Tamandua tetradactyla: one gene and its partner. The protein of the gene in region 2 purifies or fractionates together with the protein of the main gene of each other region. This does not show direct contact. Links are inferred from orthologs where the notes say so. Each region holds a gene or a part of one and is shown on either strand. Other genes may lie near its edges. The genes, in order: SNRPA1 and U2SURP.

Evidence for each region.
Region 1: the proteins of U2SURP (region 2) and SNRPA1 purify together in Homo sapiens (affinity purification with mass spectrometry; 5 studies listed by BioGRID and IntAct, with this or other methods). This does not show direct contact. The link is inferred for Tamandua tetradactyla from reciprocal best matches to the Homo sapiens genes U2SURP and SNRPA1.

What each region holds. Positions count from the first base shown.
Region 1 is NC_135338.1:83,232,527-83,244,825, reverse strand, and holds the start of SNRPA1 (U2 small nuclear ribonucleoprotein A'), read right to left. Parts: upstream 5,995-12,299; 5' UTR 5,897-5,994; coding exon 5,815-5,896; intron 3,968-5,814; coding exon 3,820-3,967; intron 2,922-3,819; coding exon 2,843-2,921; intron 1,134-2,842; coding exon 1,087-1,133; intron 1-1,086. UniProt on the Homo sapiens protein: Involved in pre-mRNA splicing as component of the spliceosome. Associated with sn-RNP U2, where it contributes to the binding of stem loop IV of U2 snRNA.
Region 2 is NC_135341.1:87,247,076-87,259,358, forward strand, and holds the start of U2SURP (U2 snRNP-associated SURP motif-containing protein), read left to right. Parts: upstream 1-6,514; 5' UTR 6,515-6,597; coding exon 6,598-6,642; intron 6,643-12,283.

The DNA of each region.
Region 1 (12,299 bases), on a different chromosome or scaffold from region 2:
CTCTGGAAGTGACTCTTAGGCATAATCATAGGTAGGCTTAGTTTCGTCATTACAGAAATAAATTTCATAGGAGAAAGCCTCAAGGTCAAGGGGTTGGTCTATTAACTTGGGAGTCCCTAATGTTGGAGTATGTGAGGGATTTCCTGGGGTGGGTGGTGAGGGGAGAGAGGGGAAGAGTTTAACAGTTTCATATTTTTTTCTCCAGGCCCTCAAGGGACTTGGCCAATACTCTCCCCCCGCCACCCATGGGCAGGCACTGAGAATCAAACCTGGGTCTCCGGCATGGCAGGCGAGAATTCTGTCTGCTGAGCCACCGTGGCTTGCCCACCAATACTTTTTAATTACCTATCCAACATACTCTGGAATGTATCACAGTATTACAAGATCTTGTTGTAGGCTCCATGTGTTTAGATTGTTTAAACGAACTGGCCAGACAGGTTAGAGTGTGTGTTGCAGAAAACTTAAGTTTGGATAAATAAACAGTTCTTCCTTTGGTCTCATACAGCAGGTGAAGTTCTAAAATACAGACCATATCATCTTTTATCCTGTATTCTGATTTACCTAAGTCCCAACCAGATCAGCTTTGTTCTTATCTCTAATTGAAATCTGGTTTCTTTTTTGGCTTCTTTAACAGTAGCTATGTGGAGGAATGCTGACTTTCAGAGCTGCAGAACTCCACCTCCGAGTCTTAGGTGTCACATACGTACCCAAAGTTCCAGAGAAATATCAGATTATATCAGGTTATACAAAGATAGTACCATAACTCAGAATTTAGAAATAAGACTTAAAGCTCAGAAATAAATGTGAGTGCTGTAAGAGCTTACAATGTAGGCTCTTATAACTATTTTCTAAAAGAGACCATACAATCTCTGTCCTTTTGTTTCTGGCTTATTTTGCTCAACATAAGTCCTCAAGTTTCATTCACCATGCTGCATGCCTCACGACTTTGTTCCTTTATGCAGCCACAATTTTCAATCATTTTTAAAAAGATACTTAAAACAAACAAACAAAAAAACCCTGATTGCTTTAAGGTCAAAATAAATGTGTTATTATTAAGGACCTCAGTATCACAAATAATATCCATACCTTAGATAAGTCAGTGACTTGAGAGATGCCAAAGGATCCAGATCACCCTGTAAAATATCCGCCACAAGTAAGAACAACGCACCATTATGAAACTGTGAAATGTTGGGCGCTTTTGGAGCAAGCACCCATCATATCTTTTATTATTTTTTGTTGTTGCTTTAGCACCTAGCACCATACTAGCACATCACAGATGCTTAATAGACAGTTATTGAATGGTTAATACATTCTTCTTAAATCTAAAATTTTTGGAATTTATAGCTGTGTCAATATCAGAAGACAAAAAGTTTTTCTTATACTGAGGAGAAACTACTGAAATAGAACCAAATCAAGTAGCACAGAGATAAGAGAACCAATGAGATAAACTAGAAACAAAAGAGGTGGGGAAGAGCTACGAGTTCTGCTTTTGTAGGCAGAGAACAGATTTTTGAATACTTCACAACCACTACCAAGAGAGCCCTAGAGTTTGCCTCTAGCATACCAACACTAGATGAAACCTAAAGGATGATTCAAAAAGGAATAAAGAACAAAAAGTGGCAACCTCTTTTTTGTTTTTTTAACACATATACACAATGACTGTATAAAATACAATGATGATGGTTTGTGAGGTTTTAAAAAAAGATAAATAACATAACAAAGCTGGGGGACAGCTGAAATGTTTCAGTTTCCTATTATTTAGGAAGATTAGTTAACTTTATACTTTTGACAAATACACATGTTTTAATTCAAAGGTTGTTGACAAGAACAGAAATAGAGTAAATAATTTCTATTAGAAGGAAAAGGAAATGATCAAACCAAAACAAAACCACACAATAAAAACCCAGCGAACAAAAGGAGGAGAAAAGAAATACGGAATGGGTGGAACAAACAGAAAGCCCCAGAAAAGAGAAAGGACAAACGCAAACTCAAATATATGGTGATTACATTAAATATAAATGGACTAAATACTTCATCTAAAAGTGTGACTTCAGATTGAATTTTTTCAAGAGACAAATCTAAAATACAAAGTTCAGAAAATTATAGAGTAAAAATTTTAAAAGGATAAAAAAACAGGTCAAAATAATCATATCTACATAGAGAAAATGCTCCTTATCTCACACAAAAACCAGTTACAGGTGGACTGCTGAAATGTGAAGGGTAAAATAAAGTTTCTCAAGCAGAACTGTCCAGCACAGGTTTAATGTATGTCACTTATGTAATTTAAAGTTTTCTAGTAGCCACATTAAGACAGAAAAAAGCAACGGGTGAAACAAATTTTAACAACATATTTGATTTAACCTAATAATCAAATTATTACTTCAACATGTAATTAATATGTTAAAAATTATTGAAATGATTTCCTTTTTTTTTTTTTGCAGGTAGTCTTCAAAATCAAGCATGTATTTTACATTTCTAGCACATTTCAATTCAGAATAACCACATTTGACTATTGGCTACCACGTTTCTTCAAGACCCCGGGATAGGAAAAGCATCAACACATTGTCAAAGAAATACATTAATAAATTGGATTATACTTAAATTAGAAATTTCTCTACCAAGAAACCCTAAGAGAGTGAAAATTCAAGTCGCAGTAGGAGAAGATTTTTGTAACCCTTATAACCAAAAAGGGTTCAGGACCTGAATTAATTCAGAAAAGGACAATGAAAAAGGATAAGACAATCTTCTATGAATTTTTCTGGCTTTATCAAATTTCTTATAGGAAGGATATAGTACCTTTAATCTCACCCCCACCCAAAACATTTCCCCCCATTCATCTTACCAGTTCCACAAGACTGTTGTTGGTGAGAATGAGCTCCGTCAGACAAGGCAGAGCCTGGTCAAGTCCCTCACCTATGCGGCTAAAAGAAAAAGACTCTTAAAATTTAGTTAGCTAAGAATTTTATCTAAGTTCTTGCTCAGAGGATTTCAGACTTCACAGTTAAAAGGAAACTTAGATTCTTTTTCCAAAACCCCATCTGACAGTAGGGAAATGAGGCACAAAGAGAAAACTTCGTAAAAGGTCTTGGATTAGTACCAGAACTGGGAGGATTTTAGTACATAAGCCTTGTGAAGGCTGCCTAGAGCTCCTTCCACTGGCACAATACCTAGTGAGAGTGCATTTCATGATTTCTCTGTGCAGACAGCAAAGAAATACATGATTCTGCATTCATAATTCAGGTATAAGACGTTCAAAACTATACCACAGGGAATGATAAATTTATGAGAAATATGTCTCAACAAGGAGACCTTCTTAAAGACATTATCTGTATACCTGGTATAAATTTTCTTCTATAAAATTTACACAAAGCTGACGTAGGGTCACAAAGAGATTTCAATTTCAGTAAGTAATATTCTAGAAATCCATTGTAATTAAAGAAACATAAATAGCAGAGAATGTGAGGTAAGAAAGAGTTGTCTGAGCAAAAATATAATTGCTGAAATTATATATTCCTTTAATGTGATCCTTTTCATTTTTATAATTATTGTTTTAGAAGCCCAAATGTGTACCATGAAGCATGTTTTAAATTTAAATTAAAATGTTACCATGAATATATAAATTTTCTACATTTCTAAAACAGATGCATATAAGATTAGACCAATGCCAAGTTAATCTTCTGGATCTCTATGAGAGGAGTGCAGGTCATTTCTCACATTAAGAAGAAATAAACAGATTTAACCAGTAGTATGCATTACAATCTCTTCAGGGATCACTGCAACATTTACTCTTGGGAAAAATTACTACTTAGTAGAAAGTACCAGATTCTGTTGTTGTTCACTAGTAATGTTTTCAGTCTTCTCAACAGAGGAAAACCATCCAGTTTTCTGATTTCATTGTCAGAAAAATCAATAGCATCAAACTGGTCTAAGGTAGCACCAAGATTTTCAATTACAGGAATTTTATACCCTGTAACATTAAAAATAAACAAGAAATATCAAGCAAAGGAATTAGAACTGTATCATAATTAAAAGTTACCTTAAAAAATTAACAATATTTCACAGTAATTTGACTGAAGGCTTTCATTCATTCAAAACTATTTACCTAACGCCTACAACATGCCAAATAGTGTGCTAGGTAGTGGAGATAAAATGTCAAACAGTCAAAGTCCCTGTGGCTATGAAACTTATAATCTAGTAGTGAACATGGAGATGCTGCTGCAGCTGATGATGAGGATTACTTATTATTACTAATATTTGTAGCAAACATCTGTAAGAATATTTATAAGGTACCCTGTACTATTGTAAGCAGTACACATGATTTGTTTCATTTAGCCTCAAGTTTTTTCATCCCCTGTAACAATAAAATGATGCAAGGTGTTAATAATAGGGTAGTATATGGGAATCTGGTATTTTATGCCTGATTGTTCTATAAATCCACAATAAAACAATTTCAAAATGTAATTTAAAAATAAAATGAAACCGAAGCTCTGATTTAATCAAGGCTCCAGAGCAAGTTATGCTTTTAGCTGACTATTAGTACCCAAGCCTTGTTTATACTATGTGAAAAACAGCCCTCAACCTCTTTTGCATTCCAACAGGCTAGATTCAGCAGGATATCCTACTGATGTGTTTGTTTCTGCTTTCTTCATTTCCCCCAGTTCCAATGCAGAATTGAGGGTCAACAGCTTACACACATTACTACAGCATACTATGAACCATTCACTCGAATGCTCACGATTGGTCTAATATGGGCAAAATTATCATGCTAGATGTTAGAAGAAGAAAGAAACCCAGTCAGGAATAAAGTACACAATTTGGAACTGTAAGAACTACATCAAAGTAGGTACTACACCAAAATAAATGTTTTCAATACTGGGTGCACCTCAGAATTTAGAAAGGTACCACGAATCTGAAGACAGTAAGTTACCCTTGAACTGAACCTTTCCCTAAGAAAGGTGATTTCAACAAAATAAAAGCACTGGGACTTCCCAATCAGCAAAGAAACTAATAAAAAAGCAGAGCCTGAAGAAGTGCTGTTCCTGAGACCGGTCTCCATGTGGAAAAACCTTAGACCGGGAATGGATAAACTTCACCCCAGAAAAGATCACATCTTTTCGTTACATCCTTTCTAAAGCAGTCATGCCTTCCTCGGCTGAGATATCTACATGAACCTCCAAAGTTTGGAGAACACCCTGTGGTGGTGGCTGGAAACATACCCCGCAGCAAGCTTGGTGAAACAGCAGAATGAATTTTTTAAAACGTTTTGATGAAAAGGAAACTGAAGGAACCTAAAGCCAGTAAGAAGGAAATACCGCGGAAAATAAGCAATCGCTTTTGTTCCCGGAATTGGCTTCCCTCGTCATAAATTATGGGTAATCACCATATGCCCCACCTACTCCCACAGTATCATTTCAAAGTATTTAGCGAGACCCAACCATCCGCCGTGCACTTGAGTCACAATCATTACTAAGTATATAATTCTCGGCCCGAAAAAGAGCTCGGATTGCGAAACGCCCCAAACAAGGTCTAATAGAGGTCCACGGGCATGGACAAGGAAGCAATTAATTCGGCCACGTGTGTGCGAGTAGGATAGGGACTGCAGAAGTCTCAGTGGTGCCTAACGGAAGGCTCCTTTGGCGGCAAAGGCAAGAATCGCCTCTAGGTGCCGGCTCACAGAACTCGATGTACCAGGAACTGCGCTCGGCGGCGGGCGGAGGCCCCGACCGCCTGGGCGCCCAGAATCCAGGCCGGAGGCGGGGCGCCAACACGTGGCCAGTGAGGTCCAGGGACGGCCGCCCGCTGCCCCGAACTCACCCCGTAGGTCTAACTCGCGGTCCCGCACAGCATTGGTATACTGCGCCGCCTGCTCGATCAGCTCCGCCGTCAGCTTCACCATCCTGCAACACTCCCGCTTCCTGGCGCTTCCTAGCGCCAAGGCCCACTGCTTCTCGCCGGCTACACTTCCCAGTGTGCCCCGCGCCCTCCTCCAGACAGCACCAATCGCAGCCGGCGGGTGCGCGCGCATCTCGACGCCAGGCAGAAGCAATCGAAGGACCACGCCCCCGGCTCGTTTTCTAAGTTCCTGCCTGGCGCTGCTTGAGGACTCCTTGGGTTCTGCGTATCTTGTCTGGTGGGCCTCTGAGACCAGAGAGCTGTCTCCGAAAGTTAAGCAAAGTGTGAAAGCACCTCTGTGGAGCTTTCATATACATCAGTGGAAAATGAGAGGGGAAGCTATGACCATCCATACTCCACCCAGGAGGGCGGGGACCTCTGAGGTTCAATGTAGGGAGGGGCTGCAACTTCACATTTCCGTCCTAGTCCTGGGCTTTGGCTGTTGGGCTACAGTGTGGGAGCCAGGGCATGGTTACCCCCTTGTGGCCAGACTGCTGGGACAGCCCCACTGCCTGACTTCCCACCGGGCACCAGCACTGTTGGATTTGCGGTGTCCAAAGACACTGGCGTGGTTTGTAGTTAACAGCATTTTACTCGGAACACCAGAAGTTTGGGTGCAGCAAGGAAGCCTGAGCACGGGTAAAAACAGAGGCAGCTTCCAGCTTCTAAGAATGGCAAATGATTTTTACAGCCATAAAAAGGAGGTTAGGTTGACTCCTATTGATTGGACAGGGGTTTGTTCCGCTTCGAGGGGTGGGTTTAGGGCAGGTGGGATTTTATTTTGTATTGCGGCAAATGCAGTAAACCAGTTGATTGGCTTGCTTGTTTACCTGGGTCAGCCACCATGGTGGGGATTTCACATTTCAAAAGACAGCAAAAGGAAACTCAAGAGTTTGCTCAGAAAAGTAGGGCGCAGGATTTTAGCGGTGGCTAGGCCTGTGGTCTCTAGACATTTAAAACTATATATGTAAGTATGATATACAGAAAAGTGCACAAATCATAAAACTGCGGCATGATGAATGACCACAGAGAAAACACTACTACCTAAGTGCTACCCAGGTTCAGAAAAAGAACATTTTCCTGAGAACTCCTTGCCCAACCCAAAGAAAACAGTGAACCGTAACAATGGGTTAGTTTCACTTACTTAATTTTATTTTATTTTTGTTTTTTGTGTAACATAACATATATACAAAGCAAAGAAAGAAAAAAGCAATAGTTTTCAAAGCACTCTTTAACAAGTAGTTATAGGATGGGTCCCAGAGTTTGTCATTAGCTACCATACCATCATTTCAGATTTTTCCTAACTCCTCCAGAACATTGGAGGCCAGAAGGAAAAAAATATTTTTTTATCATCACAATAGACTTTTTTTTTGTGAAAAATAACATATACAAAAGCAAATTTCAAAGCACAGTGCAACAATTAGTTGTAGAACAGGTTTCACAGTTTGGTATGGGTAACAGTTCCACAATTTTAGGTATTTATTTCTAGCTGCTCTAAGATACTGGAGACTAAAAGAAATATCAGTATAATGACTCAGCAATCATACTCATTTGTTAAACCCTACCTTCTCTGTATAACTCCACCATCACCTTTGATCCTACTTCCACTTATTAGGGGTATTTGAGCTATGCCCATTCTAACTTTTTCATGTTGGAAGGGGCTATTAATAATATGTAGGGACACGGAACTAGCTGATGTTTTGGAGAGGCTGGCTGCTCTGGGTTTCAGGACTTATCTGGTCCAGGGGTCCATCTGGAGGTTGTAGGTTTCTGGAAAGTTACCCTAGTGCATGGAACCTTTGTAGAATCTTATATATTGCCCTGGGTGTTCCTTATGATTGGCTGGAGTGGTTTTGGTTGGTGTTTGGCAAGTTATGATAGGTAGCAATGTTTAACTGCACACTTTCTTTCTTAAAAAATTTTTAATTGAGAAATCTTCACATGCATACTTTCTATACATGGTGCACACAATCAGTGGCTCACAATATCATCACATAGTTGTGTATTCATCACCATGATCATTTTTTAGAACATTTGCATCACTTCAGAAAAAGAAATGAATAAAGAAAGAACTCATACACACCATACAACTTTACCCCTCCCTCTCATTGACCACTAGTGTTTCCACCTACCCAATTTATTTTACCCTTTGTCCCCCTTATTATTTATTTATTCATATGTTTTACTCATTTGTCCAAACCCTGGATATAAGGAGTATCAGACACAAGATTCTCACAATCACACAGTCACATTGTAAATGTAATATCTTTATACAATTGTCTTCAAGAATCTAGGCTACTGGGACACAGCTCAACAGTTTCAGGTACTTTTCTTTAGCCACTCCAATACACCATAAACTAAAAAGGATTATCTATATAATGCATAAGAATAACCTCCTGGATAACCTCTCTACTCTGAAATTTCTCAGCCACTGAAACTTTGTCTCATTTCTCTCTTCCCTCTTTCGGTCAAGAAGGCTTTCTCATCTCTTGATGCCAGGTCCTGGCTTATCCTAGGCTTTCTGTCCTACGTTGCCAGGGAGATTTACACCCCTGGGAGACATGTTCCACGTAGGAGGGAAGGCAGTGAGTTCACATGTTGAGTTGGCTTAGAGAGAGAGGCCACATCTGAGCAATGAAAGAGGTTCTCTGGGGGTGACTCTCAGGCCTAATTTTAAGTAGGGTTAGCTATCCTTTGAAGAAATAAGTTTCATAGGGGCAAACCCCAAGATTGAGGGCTCAGCCTATTAATTTGGTTGTCCCCACTGCTTGTAAGAGTATTAGAAATTCTCCAAATAGGGAAGTTGAATATTTTGTCCTTTCTCCCCATTCCCTCAAGGGGATTTTGCAAATACTTCTTTATTTACTGCCTAAATCTCTCTGGGATTTATCAGGGCATCACACTAACCTAGACAAACGAACAAAATCTCACTCCCTATTCAAGATTCCAGGTATTTATGGTGTTCAAATAAACTGACCATAAAAGTATGAGCACTTGATATAAATGGAATTATGCAGTCTGCTTTTATGCTCAGTTTCTTTGGTTCAGTATTATGTTTGAAATTCATGCAGGTTGTATCTAGTAATGCTTTTTCTGCTGCTGTATAGAATTTCATGATATGTCTTACACTATAACATCCATTTTACTGTTGATGGACAAACTGGGTTGTTTCCAGGCTGGGGCTAGTGTGAATAATGCTATGAGTTTTCTTGTACATGAATCTGGTGCACATGCACATGAGTTTCTCCAGGAGTGGAATTGCTAGAACAAAGGGTATTGTATCATCGCCAGGCAATGCCTAACAGGTATGCCAAGATTGGAATAATTTCATTCTAGCTGTGTGTAAGTGTTTCCAGAACTTCCAACCTCAGCCTCACTTGACATTGTCAGTCTTTATAATTTGAGCAATCCTACTGGGTATATAGTAGTTTTGAATTATTGCTTTGATTTTGCTTTTCTCTAATAACTAATGACGCTGAGGCCTTTCTCATGTGTATACTGTCCATTTTGATATCTTCTTTTGTGAAGTGCACATTCAGGTCTCCTGCCAACTCTTCCTATTCGGTTGTCTACCCTTTTATTATTGATTTATGGGAATTCTTTATTCACATAGACTGGATATGAGTACACTCTGTGGTTTATCTTTTTTACTCTTATTGGTGTTTGATAATTAGAATAATTTTTTTAGAAGTTTGCAATTTTTATGTAGTTTCCAATTGATCTTTTTCATTATAGTTAGTGGGTTGTAAGTATCTGTGTGTGAGTGTGTATGTGTCTTGTTTAAGAAATCTGTCCTAATCTCCAACATATTTTCCTATGTTATCTACAAGGGGCTATTGTTTTACTTTCCACAATTAGCTCTTTTTGAACTTTTAATTGAAGTATGACTATATATATTATATATATAGTACAGAAGAGTACAAACCAAGCACACCCAAGCAACTAGCACCAGATTTTGTCCTCTTCCAGTCACTACCCTTGGCCTAATGGTAACCATTATCCTGCCTCTCTTTGCATAGATTGCCTACTTTTGTATTTAAACAAATGAAATTGTACAAATTAAATTGTACCTCATGCATATTTTGCTTAACATTATACTTGTGTGTAGACGTAGTTCATTTTTTCTCATTTCAAAAATGGAGTGTTTCATTGTATGAATTTTCCACAATTTATTTGGACATTTGTGTAATTTCAAATTTGGAGCTAGAATACATTATGCTTCTATAAACATTATAGTGTATATATTTAAGTGAACATATATACTCATATATCCCTAGTAATGGAATTGCTTGGTCATAGGATTTACTTATGTTCAGCTTAAGTAGGTAATGCTAGTTTTCAAAAATGGTAATGCCCATTTGCACTCTAGCTAACATTTGGTATTGTCTGTCTTCTTAATTTTAACCATTTCAGTGGGGTAGGTAGTGGTGCTGCACTGGGGTCTTAATTGTATTTCCCTGATTACTAATGCAGTTGATAATTTTTTTTTTTTACATATGTATTGGCCATTTCCTTATGTTCTTTTGTAAAGTGTCTGTTTAGTTCTTTTGTCCACTCTTCTATTGGATCTGGTTTGAAACTGTTATGTAATCCATCCATTTCTGGTATATAGCATTCTGGCAGCTTTAACAAATTGAAACAGATTTTGGTACCAGAGAAGTGGGGTGCTGCAGTTTTTGCAATATCAAACATGTTGGGTAAGGGGAAGATTCTGGAAGAATTGTGAGGAGGTGAATAGGAAAGGCCTGGATGGCTTTGAAGAGTCTGTTGGTAGGAATTTGGATGCTAAAGTGTCTTCCAATAAGGCCTTAGATAGAAATGATGACCATGTCATTGCCCACTGGAAGAAAGGTGACCCTTGTTTCACAGGGGCAGAGAATTTGGCAAAATTGAGTCCTGGTATTGGCTGGGAGGTAGAATTTGAAGGCAATAAGCTTGGATATCTAGCTGAGGAAATTTCCAAACTAAATGTAGAAAATACAGCCTGGCTTCTTCTTGTAGCTTATTGTAAAATGTGACAGGAAAGAGATAAGTTTAGAACTGAACTCTTTTGGAGAAAGCAACTGAAAACGTAGTTTGGAAAATTCTGAGCTTTTGGAAAATGAGATCCCAGAAAATACTGCCCTACGTGAGGATTTAACCAAACATGGAACCAGTCAGTCATTTCAGAAAAATCCAGGATTGGGGATGGTGTTATTCATATAGGATTTGTGGAAAGTCCTATTGTCTGATGGGTTTTACTCCTGTATGCTGCATGCCAAGTCAACACATTTTTTGGTGAGATCTGTATAAACAGAAGCACTGCCAGTCTGGACTAAAAGGGACAGATTGAAGGAAAAATGACTTCAAAGGCATAACCATGGAAGCTAAGGTCTGGAGCTAGGAAATCTCAGGCCAAGGGAACAGATCCACCCATGCACATGGAGAGGGTGAGTGTGCCCTGGAAGCAGAGGGCTGACCTTCTGCTTCATTGTTCAGGAAGAGTTTTGCTGCCTCAGGCCTCAGAGAGGGTGGAGCATATGCCCTGGAGAATGGGGGAGCCTGGTGACCACCCCATTGTCCAGAAGGGATACAGCATGTGCCTGGGAGATGGTAGGAGTACCGCCCTGATGCTTGGAGAGGGTGGAGCTGAGAACAAGGTGGTCTCCCCAATACTTGGATACGTTAAAATCTTCACCCAGTGTTTAGAGAGAGAAGGGCCACTGTGTAAATCCCTGGAAAGGGATTTTTATAAGTGGGACTGCTGCTTTCTCAAGCCTAGAGGATAAACCATCATTCTACTAAATGATTCTCAGAACTTAAAATCAAATGGAGTTTGCCCTGTTGTTTTCAGAACTGTTTGAATCCCGTGACCCCTGTTCTGCTTTCAGATTTCTCCCTATGGCAATGGGAATGTTTATCCTATGACTATCCTCCTTGTGTACTGGAAGCAGATAACTTGCACTAAGTTTCACAGGTTTACAGCCAGAGGAGAATGTTGCCTTAGGACAGACCACGGCTGTAACTGACTTTGGTGAGATTTTGTGCTATTTTTGAGTTGATATTGCATTTGTATCACTCCTGATATGGTTTAAGCCTTTTGTGATATTGTGATGGAATGAATGTATTTTGCATATGGTACAAACATGTCTTTTGGGGGTCCAGAGGGTGGAAAGTATAGGTTTAAAACTGTTATGTACCCTAGAAAAGCCATATTATTTTAATCCTAATCCAATTTTGTGGGGGTGGAGGTATTATTTGGGCAGGATCTTTTGATTACATTGTTTCCACGGAGATGTGACCCAACCATTTGTGGGTGGGACCTTTTTTTTTTTTTTTTTTTTTTAAAGAGATCATTTTATTAGTTTTTGTTTGTTTGTTTGTTTTTTTTTTTACATGGGCTGGGGCCGGGAATCGAACCGAGGTCC
Region 2 (12,283 bases):
CTTTAAACATTTTCGTTTTTTATTATATTTTGTTTGTTTGTTTGCTTTTTACATGGGCTGGGGCCGGGAATCGAACCGGGGTCCTCCGGCATGGCAGGCAAGCACTCTTGCCCGCTGAGCCACCGCGGCCCGCCCGGTTCTGCCCACTTTTGAGGTTTCTCCAAAGTGTTTCCCCCTTGAAAGGACTCCAGTAAACTAATCAAGCCCCACCTTGAATGGGTGGAGTCACATCTCCATCCAATCAAAAGGCCACACCCATAATTGAGTATGTCACATCTCCATGGAGAAATCTAATAAAAAAAAGCCCAACCACAATTGAGTGGGTCAATCTCCATGGAAAGAATCTAGTCAAAGTTTCCACCCTACAATATTAAATCAAGGTTAAAAGAAACATGGCTACCCCCACAAGACTGGACCAGGAAAAAGGACACGGCTTTTCTGGGACATATAACAGCTTCAAACCAGCACAAATGGTGTACTGAAATTTCCCACTGTTATTATTGAAATGTCAATTGCTCCCTTGAATTTGCCTCTTGTACTTTTGAGCTCCTTGATTAGGAGTATAAACATTTATGATTGCCATGTCTTCTGTGAATTGTTCCTTTTATTAATCTATAGTGTCCTGCCTTGTCTCTTATGACATTTTAACATTTAAAGCCTATTTCATCCAATGTTAGTTACCTCTGCTTTCTTTTGGTTAGAGCTTGCATAGAACATCTTTTTCCATCCTTTCATTTTCAATCTTTCTATTTATATTCTTAGGTCTAAGATGAGTCTCTTGTAAGCAGCATATAGATGGAGCATATATTTTAATCCATTCTGCCAAACTATATCTTTTAATTGGTGAGTTTAGTCCATCAACATTGAGTTTTCACTGCAAAGGCAGTCCTTGAATGTACCATCCTATCCTTTAATGTTTGTCATGTCTATATATTCTTTCCCCCTCTCTTATATGTTAGCCTTACCACTACTCTTCAACTCCGTACTCTCGTGCACACATTCCTTTCGCCTTTTTTTTCTTTTTTCAGTTGACAAAATTCCCTTTAGTGTTTCTTGTTGGGCAGCTCTCTTGTTGGCAAATTCTCTGTCTTTGTCAGTGAAGATTTTTATCTCTCCTTCAGTTTTGAAGGACAGCTTGGTAGGATAAAGAATTCTTGGCTGGAAATCATTCCTATTCAAAATCTTATCATACCATTGCCTTGTTTTCACGGTGGCTCTGGGGTAGTTTGAGCTCAGTTTTATGTGATATCCCTTATATGTAAGCGAATTGTATTCCCTTGCTGCTTTTATGACTTTTTACTTTTCTTCAACATTTGACATTCTGATCAGTATGTTTTGGGAGTAGGCCTATTTGGATTTATTCTATTTGGGGTTCACTGGACTTCTTTGATTTGCATACTTACATCTTTTATAAGAGTTTAGAAGTTTTCTCCCATTATCTCTTCAACTAGTCTTCCTACCCCTTTTCTCTTTTCTTTCTGGGACACTGATAATTCTTCTATTTGTTCACTTCATGTTATTTATCATTTCCTGAGATTTAGTTCCATTTTTCTTGTCATTTGTTCTCTTATGTATTCACATTCAGTTGTCCTATCTTCTAATTCACTATTCTTTCTTTTGCCTCTTCAAATCTGTTGCGTTCAGTATACTTTTTTCAGTATATACTTTCACCTCTATGAAATGTGCTATTTTTCTATTTATTCTTTCAAATTCTTATGATTGTCCAGTGTCTTCGTAATATCTTTTATGTTCTTATGAACATCCTCGATTTAGTTGTTCCAAACTCTGCAGCCCCTCCGCTAATAGTTAGCTCATTTGACTGAGCCATATCTACATGAGCCTTAACGTGCTTTATGATCTACTGCTGCACATGGGGCATCTAAATGTCTTAATAAGGTTATTTTGCAAGTTAATTTCCTTCACACATCTATGGTTTCGTATTCAGATTTGCACTGAAAGTCCCTGTTCTAGTTTGCTAGCTGCCGGAATGCAACACACCAGAGACGGATTGGCTTCTAATAAAAGGGGATTTATTTTGTTGGTTCTTCAGAGGAAAGGCAGCTAACTTTCCACTGAGGTTCTTTCTTACGTGGAAGGCACAGGATGGTCTCTGCTGGTCTTCTCTCCAGGCCCCTGGGTTCCAGCAACTTTCCCTGGGGTGACTTCTTCCTGCATCTCCAAAGGCCTGGGCTGAGCTGCAAATGCTGAGATGAGGAATGCCAAGCTGCTAGCAGTGCTACGTTGCAATCTCCCATTTAAGCACCAGCCAATTAAGTCAGACGTCACTCATTGCAGCAGACAGCCTCCTAGCTGACTGCAGATGTAATTGGCAACAGATGAGGTTCACGCACCATTGGCTTATGTCCTCAGCAACAGACTAGGTATGCTCACCTGGCCAAGTTGACAACTGAATCTAACTAACACAGTCCCCTTTAGGACTTTGTCAGTCCTTCCTGTCACATCCCCCCACCCCAAAACCATGTTAGGATCTCATGTAGGGGTTGCAATTCTCCTTAAAGCTCTATTGAGAGTTAGGCAGATGGGCAATTTGCCTGACTGCACTTTTTGCTTCTTCCTAGCAGATGGCATTCTTGAACCAACTCATCCCCTCAGGCCCACCGGTCCTTGAGGGGGCTAAATTATTTGGAAACCTGATGCAATTCTAGCCAGGGCCCACTGCTTACGTGCCCAATGGTTCAGGTGCCCCTCAAACTCCCACTTTGCATGATCTTGGGCTGCACATCTGGGTATTTCAGGTGCCCTTGCCCACAGCCAATCTGGGAATGTCTGGCAGGTGGTCACTGCACACAGTTCAGCAACTCCCTCGGCCTTGACTCTGTCTGCTGTACTCTTGAGGTCTCTGGGCCTCCATGGGAAAGGGGAATGATATTGGGACCCAAACAATTCCCTCTCTGGCTGGCTGTCAGACCGGCAGCACTCGGTGCTTCTCCCTCCCTGAGGGAAGGCCCTGTAGTCTCTGTTGAAATAAACCAGGTACCTGCAGCAGCCTGTCTCAGGGGTGGGGAGCAGGCACTATGCTCTGGCTAATTGATCTTTGTATGTGCGCTGGTTTGAAGCTGTTATGTACCAGTCAAAAGCCATATTTTAATCCTGATCCAACCCTACGGGGGGCAACTGTTTCTTTTAATCCTGATTCAATAGTGCAGGTTGGAAACTTTTGATCAGATTATCTAGAGGAGATGTGACACGCCCAACTGTGGGTGTTAACTTTTGATTAGATGGAGATGTGACTCCATCCGTTCCGGGTGAGTCTTGATTAGTTTACTGAAATACTTTAAAAGGGAAAACATTTGGAAGAAACCTCAGAACTGATGCAGAGTCTTGAACAGTTGCTTCAACTGACAGAGCCAACATAAGACCCAGATGTTTAGAGATGCAGGGCCCAGCAAACATGGTTGTGTGCCTTTCCGTGAGATGCTAAGCAGGCCAGAACCCAGAATTGTGTCTTGGAAGAGCTAAGTGAAGGCCCACAGATGCCAAGTGAGGAACTCCTACAGGAAACAGAAGCTGAAAGCAACAGAGCCCAGGAGTAAGGGACCAGCGGATGCCAGCCACGTTGACTTTCCAGCTAACAGAGGTGTCCAGACAACATCAGCCTTTTTTGAGTGAAGGCAGCCTCCTGCTGGTGCCTTAATTTGGACTTTTTCTTGGCATTAGAACTGTAAACTTGTAACTTATTAGATTCCCTTTTTAAAAGCTGTTTCATTTGTGGTATATTCCTTTCTGGCAGCATTAGCAAACTAATATGGTATGCAGGGAAAGCAAGTCTGTCAACTTCTAAGGACATCCCGCCCCCCCAGCCCCCCAACTCCCAGCTTACAGAGCCTTAAGGGAAAATCTTCCAAGCCAGCTGCCGGAGGCAGATGAAATTGTGGTGGAGCTCACTCACTCCATTCTCTCATTCCCAAATCTCCACTTTTTTATTCAGGGTCTCCTTAGGTAGAGATGAAGACCCTCTCTCAACACTGACACCCTGGAACCGCTGTCTGAGTCATTTTTCAGTCCCTTCTCTTATTGTTGCACAGGACCAGGGTGAACTCAGCCTCTCTTATTCTGCCATCTTGCTGGAAGCCCTCCATTTGGATTACTTTCATGCTACCTTAGCCTCTCCAATCTGTGATTTGAGTACAGGATCAAGTTTTCATGATTTAAATTTATCAAGTAGAACTCTGCTTATAACCTTGTGAGCTTTTGAAAATCCAATTAACTGGGCCTTAATAAATACTGTATCAGTTTGTTATGCCGCTATGACAAATATCACACAATGCTTGGAATCTACTGCTTATGGTTTTGGAGCCTAAAAGGCTTGCTTCCTCCCAGGGCTTGTAGCCTTTCCATGCTGGTTTGCTTCAATCCTGGGGGTAAATTGGCTTGAATCCCTGCCTCACAGCAACTGGCAATATCCTCTCCTTTCTTTTCTGGGTTCCCATTGACTTCCTACTTCTTCCTGTGGCCTTTTCTGACTCTGGCTTTCGGTTTCTTTCTCTTTATAAAATCTCCAGTAATCCAGGTTAAGACCTAATCTCAATTTAAGTGGGCCACACCTTAACTAAAAATAACATCTTCAAGAGATCCTATTTACAATGGGTTCCACACACACAGGAATATGAATTAAGATTTAGAAGGTGTCTAAATTGGGATATACAATTCAATCTATTACAAAGGCCTATCTTTATATTACTTCTTGTCAGGTCAAGGTCACATTTGTCTGATTTGCTTTGGGATTTATGGCATGAAAAGAAGAGAGGGAAGAATTCTGTGCACTTCTATTTATGTTTAGTGAAGATTATTTTAAGCGGATTTTGGTGATTTGAATAAAAAGCACGCATAAATTCACCTCAAAGTGACAACGCCAGCCTGACACACTGCCAGAACACCCCCAGGCTATCCTAATCGCATTCCTTCCCCTTGATGGTTTCACTTTCCATTTCTCCACTGTAGCCAGACAATTAAGATCTAGTATGATGAGCTCCTTGAGTGGGAAAGTATAGTTTCTACCGAAATAGAAGCAAGACCTCTAACACAGTCTTGGTGGGGGAGGGAATCTGCAAGGCTTCCCCCAAGAAATGACATCTTCAATAAGAGTAGAAGATTAATTATACTTCAAAAACGGGCAAGGCTGAGGGTGCGGAAAGAGCCCCAGAGGTGAGAAAGTGATAAGATCCAAGATTGGGAAGAGGTTCACCTGGGCTGGAGGACAGGAAGCACTCTATTTTAATTCATGCGCAGCACTATGGCACCTATCACTTTCTGATGGCATGCTTTGTTTACTTGCTTAGTGACTATCTTTCCATATTCCTACCCTATCCCCTTATACAGAACCGGATGCCTGGTCTGCAGTTTCCTTGGTGCCTGGCACATGATTGTGAACCTTTTCTGAGGACCTGCTATGGGTCACATCCTATTCTAACTCCCATATCCTCCCACCCCCACGCCGCCATCCAACAGACAAAATTCTACTTCTTCCCAGCTGATCAAATCCTACCTTCTCTGGGAAGCCCCCTCATTTCTTCTCCACCCAGCCCTTACCCTCAGAATTATTCATTTGTGTTTCTACAGCATCCGATCCTTCCTTGCAGCACCCATATCTTCAGTTCGTCTCCCCTAACTTTTGAATCTCACGCAGACGGTTTTATTCATCCCCACGAACCTCAGAACCGTCCGTGCAGGGTTGTGTCCGCAAGTCGGGTCTCAAACACACTGGGATAAACGAATGCGGGAGAGAGGGTCCTGAACCCCTCTCCCCCTTCCAGACCTGGGTCTCCGCACGTTACAGCCTCCACCGTTCTCAGAGCTTTTACAACGACAAGGCGACCCCCGCGCAGCCCTGCCCGACCCCGCGGAGGCGGAGGGTAACTGCAGCCGCCCGCCCGGGGCCGGCCCCCCGCCTCACGCCCGGTCGACCGGCCTCCGCTTCGGGTCGCCCCTCGGCCCGGCTCGCCTCGGAATCCGGCCCTGGTTAAGAGCGGTAAAAAACCCTAAGTGCGGAAAAGTTTACGGCGCTTTTCATGGACGTGATAAAAAAGGAAAACAACGATTAAACCTCAAAGCGTCATTTCAGGCGACACAGGGCCGACGTATGCGGGCTGTGAAGGGCCGTCCAGGTGCGCCGGGTCCTCCCGCGCGCGCTGTCCGCAGGTTCTCGGCCGGGGCGGACCGGACCGGGCCCGCTGGCCGCCCCGCCGGGCTCTTGGCCGGGCCGACGCGTCTCCGTCCCGCCTTCCAGGCGCGGGTCTCCACACCGAGCGCCCCTCCCGCGCGCGGGCTCCACGTTCGACTCGCGCGGGAAGCCAGGGCGCCACCCGCCCTGCCCAAAGGTCACGACGAGGCGATCCTCTCCGCCGACCAGCCCAACATCCCCGTGAGACGCGCGGCCGCCGGGAGAGACGCACGGGCCGGGCGGGGCCGGACTCCTCCCGCGACCGGAAGACACGGGCTCGCCTCCGCCCGCACTCGATGTCTCGGCCATCCACTCCTCAGCCTCGCAGGCGCTCTGGCGGGCTCCGCGGAGATCCGCTCTTTCGGCGCTCGACTCGCCGCGCTGCCGCCGCCGCCGAAGGAGGGGCAAAGCTCAAGATGGCGGACAAAACGCCAGGCGGCTCTCAGAAAGCCAGTTCAAAGGTAATTTTTTCGAGAACTTCGGAAGCCTGTGGGTCTGTCACTGTCGTCTGGGGCCTACGCGCGCTTCTGTTCAGCGGAAGGCGGGCGGGGTGACGGTGGGCGTTCTGGTGGCCGCGCCAGACCCGGGCGCTGCCGGACCGTGGTGCGCAGGTTGAGAGGCCTGGTTGCGCCCCTGAGTCCCAGCCTGGATTCGGCTCGAGACTGGCGGGCCCGGGGTGGGAAGGAGGGGGCCGGAGCGGTTCGGCCCGCCCGCCCTGGGCTCCCGAGTGGAATGTGGAGTTCAGGGTGAGGTCTGAAGCCTCGAGGACGCGCTCCTTCCTGTATCTTAGCTTGTTGCGCCCCGAGACCTCCAGAAAGTCTGTGGGAGAGGCGGGAAACGCCTGTGTGGGTGCTTCTCGGTGTTTTAGTTTTGGGTGTCACATTCTTCCGGCCTCGGTTAATATTTCCCATGGCCTCTGGGGAATAAATACTCTGTAGGGCCGCAGGTTGCGCGGGGAGGACGAATAGTGGAGGGACGCGAGAGGGAAGTGCAGAGGCGGGATGTGCACTGCTGCATCGCCAAGGTTATTGCTACACTCCACACGTGTTCTTTACCTCGTTTTCAAGGAAGTACAAGTATTTCTCTTGAGGCTCGGAGATTGGGGGCTCTCCGTCATCTCCTTTTGGTGTGTTCCACCGAAAGGGGAGCAAACGTAGTGTTGGAAGACACCTAAGATTAGTACGGTGTGTGTGTGTGTGTTTACCGTGGTCGGCGTGCACGCACTGTGATTAGTAAGGTTGTGGTTAGCATCAGGTCTTCTTTGCCATCTTCGGCTGTTAAGTTTTGTTTTTTTGTTTGTTTGTTTTTTTAACATGGGCAGGCACTGGGAAGCGAACCCGGGTCCTTTGGCATGACAGGCAAGCGTCCTTGCCTGCTGAGCCACCGTGGCCCCTGTTAAGTTTTTTGATGCCCGTGCAAGAAGTTGTGAACCCACTTTACAGATTCTGAGGATAGTTGTATCTTATTTAAAGAGAGTGTATGATTATGGGTCGGTTATTAAGAAGTTAGCAAATTTATGGTAGAAAAGATAAGCTTTGTGTTTACAATGTGTTCTAAGAAATAGAGTACCCCATTTTATACTTTCTTTTTCAGTTTTTATAAATCTGAATCTTTATACCATTTGGTGAATCATGTTCTTAACTGGCTCTACTTAGTAATGGATTAACCAGACATCCTTGAGTTATGTAAAAACTGGTAGAAAGCCATTTTGGGCTGCACAGTATCAAAGACATTTACCCCATTTTAGTTTTCCCTCTTCCCAGTACATTTCCCCTTCTTCGGTGAGTGTGCAGGTGGGAGGATAGGTTGATTCCTCACTCCCTCCCTACCCACTCTTTTCTGTATATTCATGACGAAAAACAGCCCATTTATTATTAGGGAGACATCACTAAAGCTGATTACATGTAAAATAATCTCTCATGCATATGGTTCACAGTTTTGTTTCTTGTTAAAGTAGTATTTTAAGTATCTCCTATTTAAGACCCTGTATACATTGAAAACATTTCAAAAATTGGGTTAGAGAGGTGAATGGATAAAGTGGAAGATACTTTTGACTTCCTTGGATATCTGATACTGAATTATTTTGGAAACGATGCTAATCAGCTGCCTTTGCTGATTAACAAAAAGTACAGCTTTTAAGAGATAAGTAAAATAAGGTTTACTTTAAGACCTGTGATCCTTAGGTATTTTTTACTACCAATGTACATTTTTTTGTGGTACCTAAAGAAATTTAAAATTGAAAAATATGATGAAAAACTCCAAATAAAATGTAAGTCTTGACAATTAGGCTCTTCGTATTTTGCCAGTTTTAGTTTAAGTCTTTACCATGGTGTGGTCGTAACTTACTTTACGGTATAAGATGTTTGGTTTTTTTGGGTAGAGGGTGAAACTATTAACTTCAGTTTTCTTGATTGGTGCTTTAGAAACTTCAGTATCTGTAGAAATGATACTGAAGATGACCTGCTTTTGCTGTGGTCTTTAATTATAGTTGAATAAAATAGGGGCAATTATTCCTTATCTTACTGGATTCAGCTGATCTCTGAAAGTCGTTTTAGTTTTCTTTTGTTTTTTATTCCTGAAGTCATGTTTTCCCTGGAAAGGAAGTCTAACAAAGATACCCATTTTTCTTAAAATGAGAGAAGGGATTATTTGATTGCAAGTCGAAGACTCCTGCATTTCTGCCCCCTTTTACAAATAGTATAATTTTTGAAATAAAAATTAAAAACTTGCTATAGGATATCAAACTCAAAAACAATATTCAACATAGATTTCCCCTTCTGCTATTATTAATGGCTTCAGCGTTTTGTTGCAGACCCGCTATGTGCTAAATATTTTGCTGAAATAATGTATTTGAAAGGAAGATGCATTTGCCAGTAGCACTTGAGGTATTTACTGTTATCAGTTGTCTCTTCCCTGAGAAGTTAATTTTTATCATTGGGTCCTTCCTCAGTTAAGATAAACTAAGGACATTCAATATACACTTGTAACTTTTCATGTATTGGCAGTGCTTGAGATGTAATTTTAAAAGTCATTTCAGGTTTGTTATTTATTTTGCGTAGTTCATGCCTCATTGATCTTAAAGACGTTTGGCCCTGGATACTGGTAGCTGCCACTTGTTAATGAGTGTACAGCATAGTATGTGGGTAGTGTGAAGTTTAGTTTTGTCTGGGAGGTACTTGTTCTGGCAGATTAAGTCAAGTATGTTGAGGCTTTGTCACTTCCCAGAGTTTGTCCTTGAGAAAAATGCTAAATGAGACTACTCACTTTGGGGAACATGCTCTCTAGTAGAAGTCAACACACATAGTAGGGTAAGGCAGAGAAAGGGTTCAGGAGCATACTGGCATTTGATTGCTCGAGTCATTTTAACAATGAGCAGAGATTTGAAGGGTAGAGACAATAGTATAAAAAAAGACTGGTGAGGTGAGGGAAAATAAATTGTTGAAAAATGGTTTGGTAAATATTTTGGTTTATGCCCTGGCTAAAGGGCACTTACAAAGGGAATAAAAGGAGCTGAGACTAGAAAAGTAAGTTGGGGCCAAATTGTAGAGGACTTTGAGTGCTAGGGAATAAAATTGGAGAGCCAGGGAAAATTTGAGTCAGGAAATCTTCCATGAAAGTTTTTTTCTGGGGGCTGAGCTCAGGAAGGATTTGGTGGTGAGGAGGACCACTTTGGAGATACAGATAAATATTGAGGTTTGCTTTAAAATCTCACCTTAGATCCTCTCCGGAAGCTAACATTTCTCTCCCTTCATTAAGATTCTGTGCTCTAGTGGCATAGCCACTTCGTTTTATTTGTATTTCTTTTTAAATTAGCTTCCTAGGGTAGGGGCTATGTCTTATTTTACTTCATATCTCCAATGCAAGGCCCAGCACCAGCCTCACCAGAGGTGTCCCAAAAATGGTTGGGTGCAGGGGAGATCTGAACCACCATGTTAATGTCAGTAGAAAGAGAAGAGCTGGGATATATGGAATCTGACTACCATTTGGTTATGAAAGGTAAGGCAGGTGTAGCAGTCCAGGATGATCCTGTTACAACACTGCTCCTCTTGCTGCTGGATAACACTTGTTAAGCAATTACTGTGCAGGAAGCCCTCAGAAGAATGCTTCACAACAGTCCTATGAGACAGCTTCTATTCACTTTCACAGATGAAGAGATGAGGCCCAAGTTTACAAAGTTAAGAAGTGCTACAACCAGAATTCAAACCCAGGAAGTCTGGCTTCAGATTCCGTGCTTTTAACAACATTGTTCTACTTCCAGATTATGATGGATTGAGAGTTATGACCTGGGTCAGAAACGAGAAGGTCAAGAAGAGAAGCTTATTTGGAAGGAATTTTGGACAGGTTGGATTTGAGGAGCATGTAGACATACACAGGTGAAAATATTCAAGATTGGAACCTAGAGATCGAAAGGAGCCGTCTCAGCACAATAAAAGTGTTCATGAACTCCCTTTGGGAGAAATCAAACTTGTGGAGATGAAAGTTGGTGCTTTAGAGAGTGAGAGGAAAAAGAAGACATTTAGGAGAGAGGTATATGGGAATGAGATTTGGCTAGGCAGAAAGGTGGTGTTGGAGGAATGTTGCTGTGGATAGCTTGCTAACTTGAGAACTGTCTGTGGGGCTTTCACTTGAAGTGAAGTAGGGGCAGCAGGGAAACAGTGGTTTATATATTCAGCTCGCAAGATACAGGACCGTGTATTGTAGTTGATTTCACCTTTATCTCCTTTTTCCTTTTGGATTTTCTTGCAGTCCTCCACGTTTATTCTGTCTTTTCTATCCTGAGATAAATTCCTCTTGTCTGCTTTTTTTTTTTTAATTACTTCAGATCTTCCTTGTTCTACCTTTTTGTTTCTTGCATTTTGGTCTCTTTATTTTGATAAGGAATTATGCTGTAGATGTCAGAGGATATTTAAGCATTGTTAATTTTGTGTTCTTTAGTTAAAAGATGAAAACCTAAACACAAAGCTAATCATGTGGTTCAGTTCCAGGTTAAGAATAGGGAGACTTGTCTTTTTGATGTAGTTTTATATCTACTATCTTCCCTGCACTCAACCATTTATATCTACTTGGACCACTCACTTTAGAAATAGTTTATTACTTCTCTAAAATCTTACTATTTGCATCTCTCTAATTGTTCTTAGCCCAAAGAAGTTCCATTCTGAAAGCTTTGTAGCTATAGCTGCATATCAGGGAGAAATATCTCTGGTTTGCAGCTAACATCACCAATGACACCTTAGGTTAATTTAAATCAGTTGGTACAGCTTCCTAAACTATGCATTTACTTACTGCTCAACTTGTAAATTCATCAAATTATGTTATTTATAAAGCTGACAGAAATGCTACTTTTGAACTTCTGTTTTAGAGAGTATTTACCAGTTCAGTGGATACTTATGCACCTGAGATTCTTGAAAGCTGTATCACAGAGCTTCATCTGAATGATTTGGAGTCAGGAAAGATTTAGCTATATAGAGATAGGCAGAATGTCCAGGTTCTTGTACCTTTTGTTTTTAAATTTTAGAATTAATGATTTAGATATAGTGGCATAGAAGATGAAAGAAAAGTAAGCATTTGTATCATGCTTATTCTTTTGGGTGAACTTTAGAATTATTTTGGCAATCTTCTTGCCCCATTGTAAAGATTTCCCTTTGGGATTTTGAGTTGTTGAATGAAATTGCATTAAATATGTAAATAAATTTGGGCATAATTGCATCGTCTTAATAGTGAGTTTTTCCATCCAGAATATGATGTGTCATTTCAGATGGTGACTTGACTAGATGAATTCTTCAGTAAAGTGTGTGCTTTCTTCACACAGGTTGTGCACCCTTCTTAAGTTGGCTCCTAATTGTTGCTGTTATGATTAAGATGTTATTTTTGTTGCCTGACATGTCTGATACAACTAGAAAGCAGTGTGTATTTTTTTCAGCCCATTCAGCTTCTTAACTGAATGTTTTTTTTCCCTTTGGATTTTCTAAGTGTCTGAAAATTTCACAGAATTAAGTTTCAATATCATAAAATATTTCTTCTTACATGCCATCTTGTCTTTTTAGTAAGGTTAGCTGGAGAAAGAAAGTGAATGATGGGGAACATGGTGAAAGTTGGAGACAG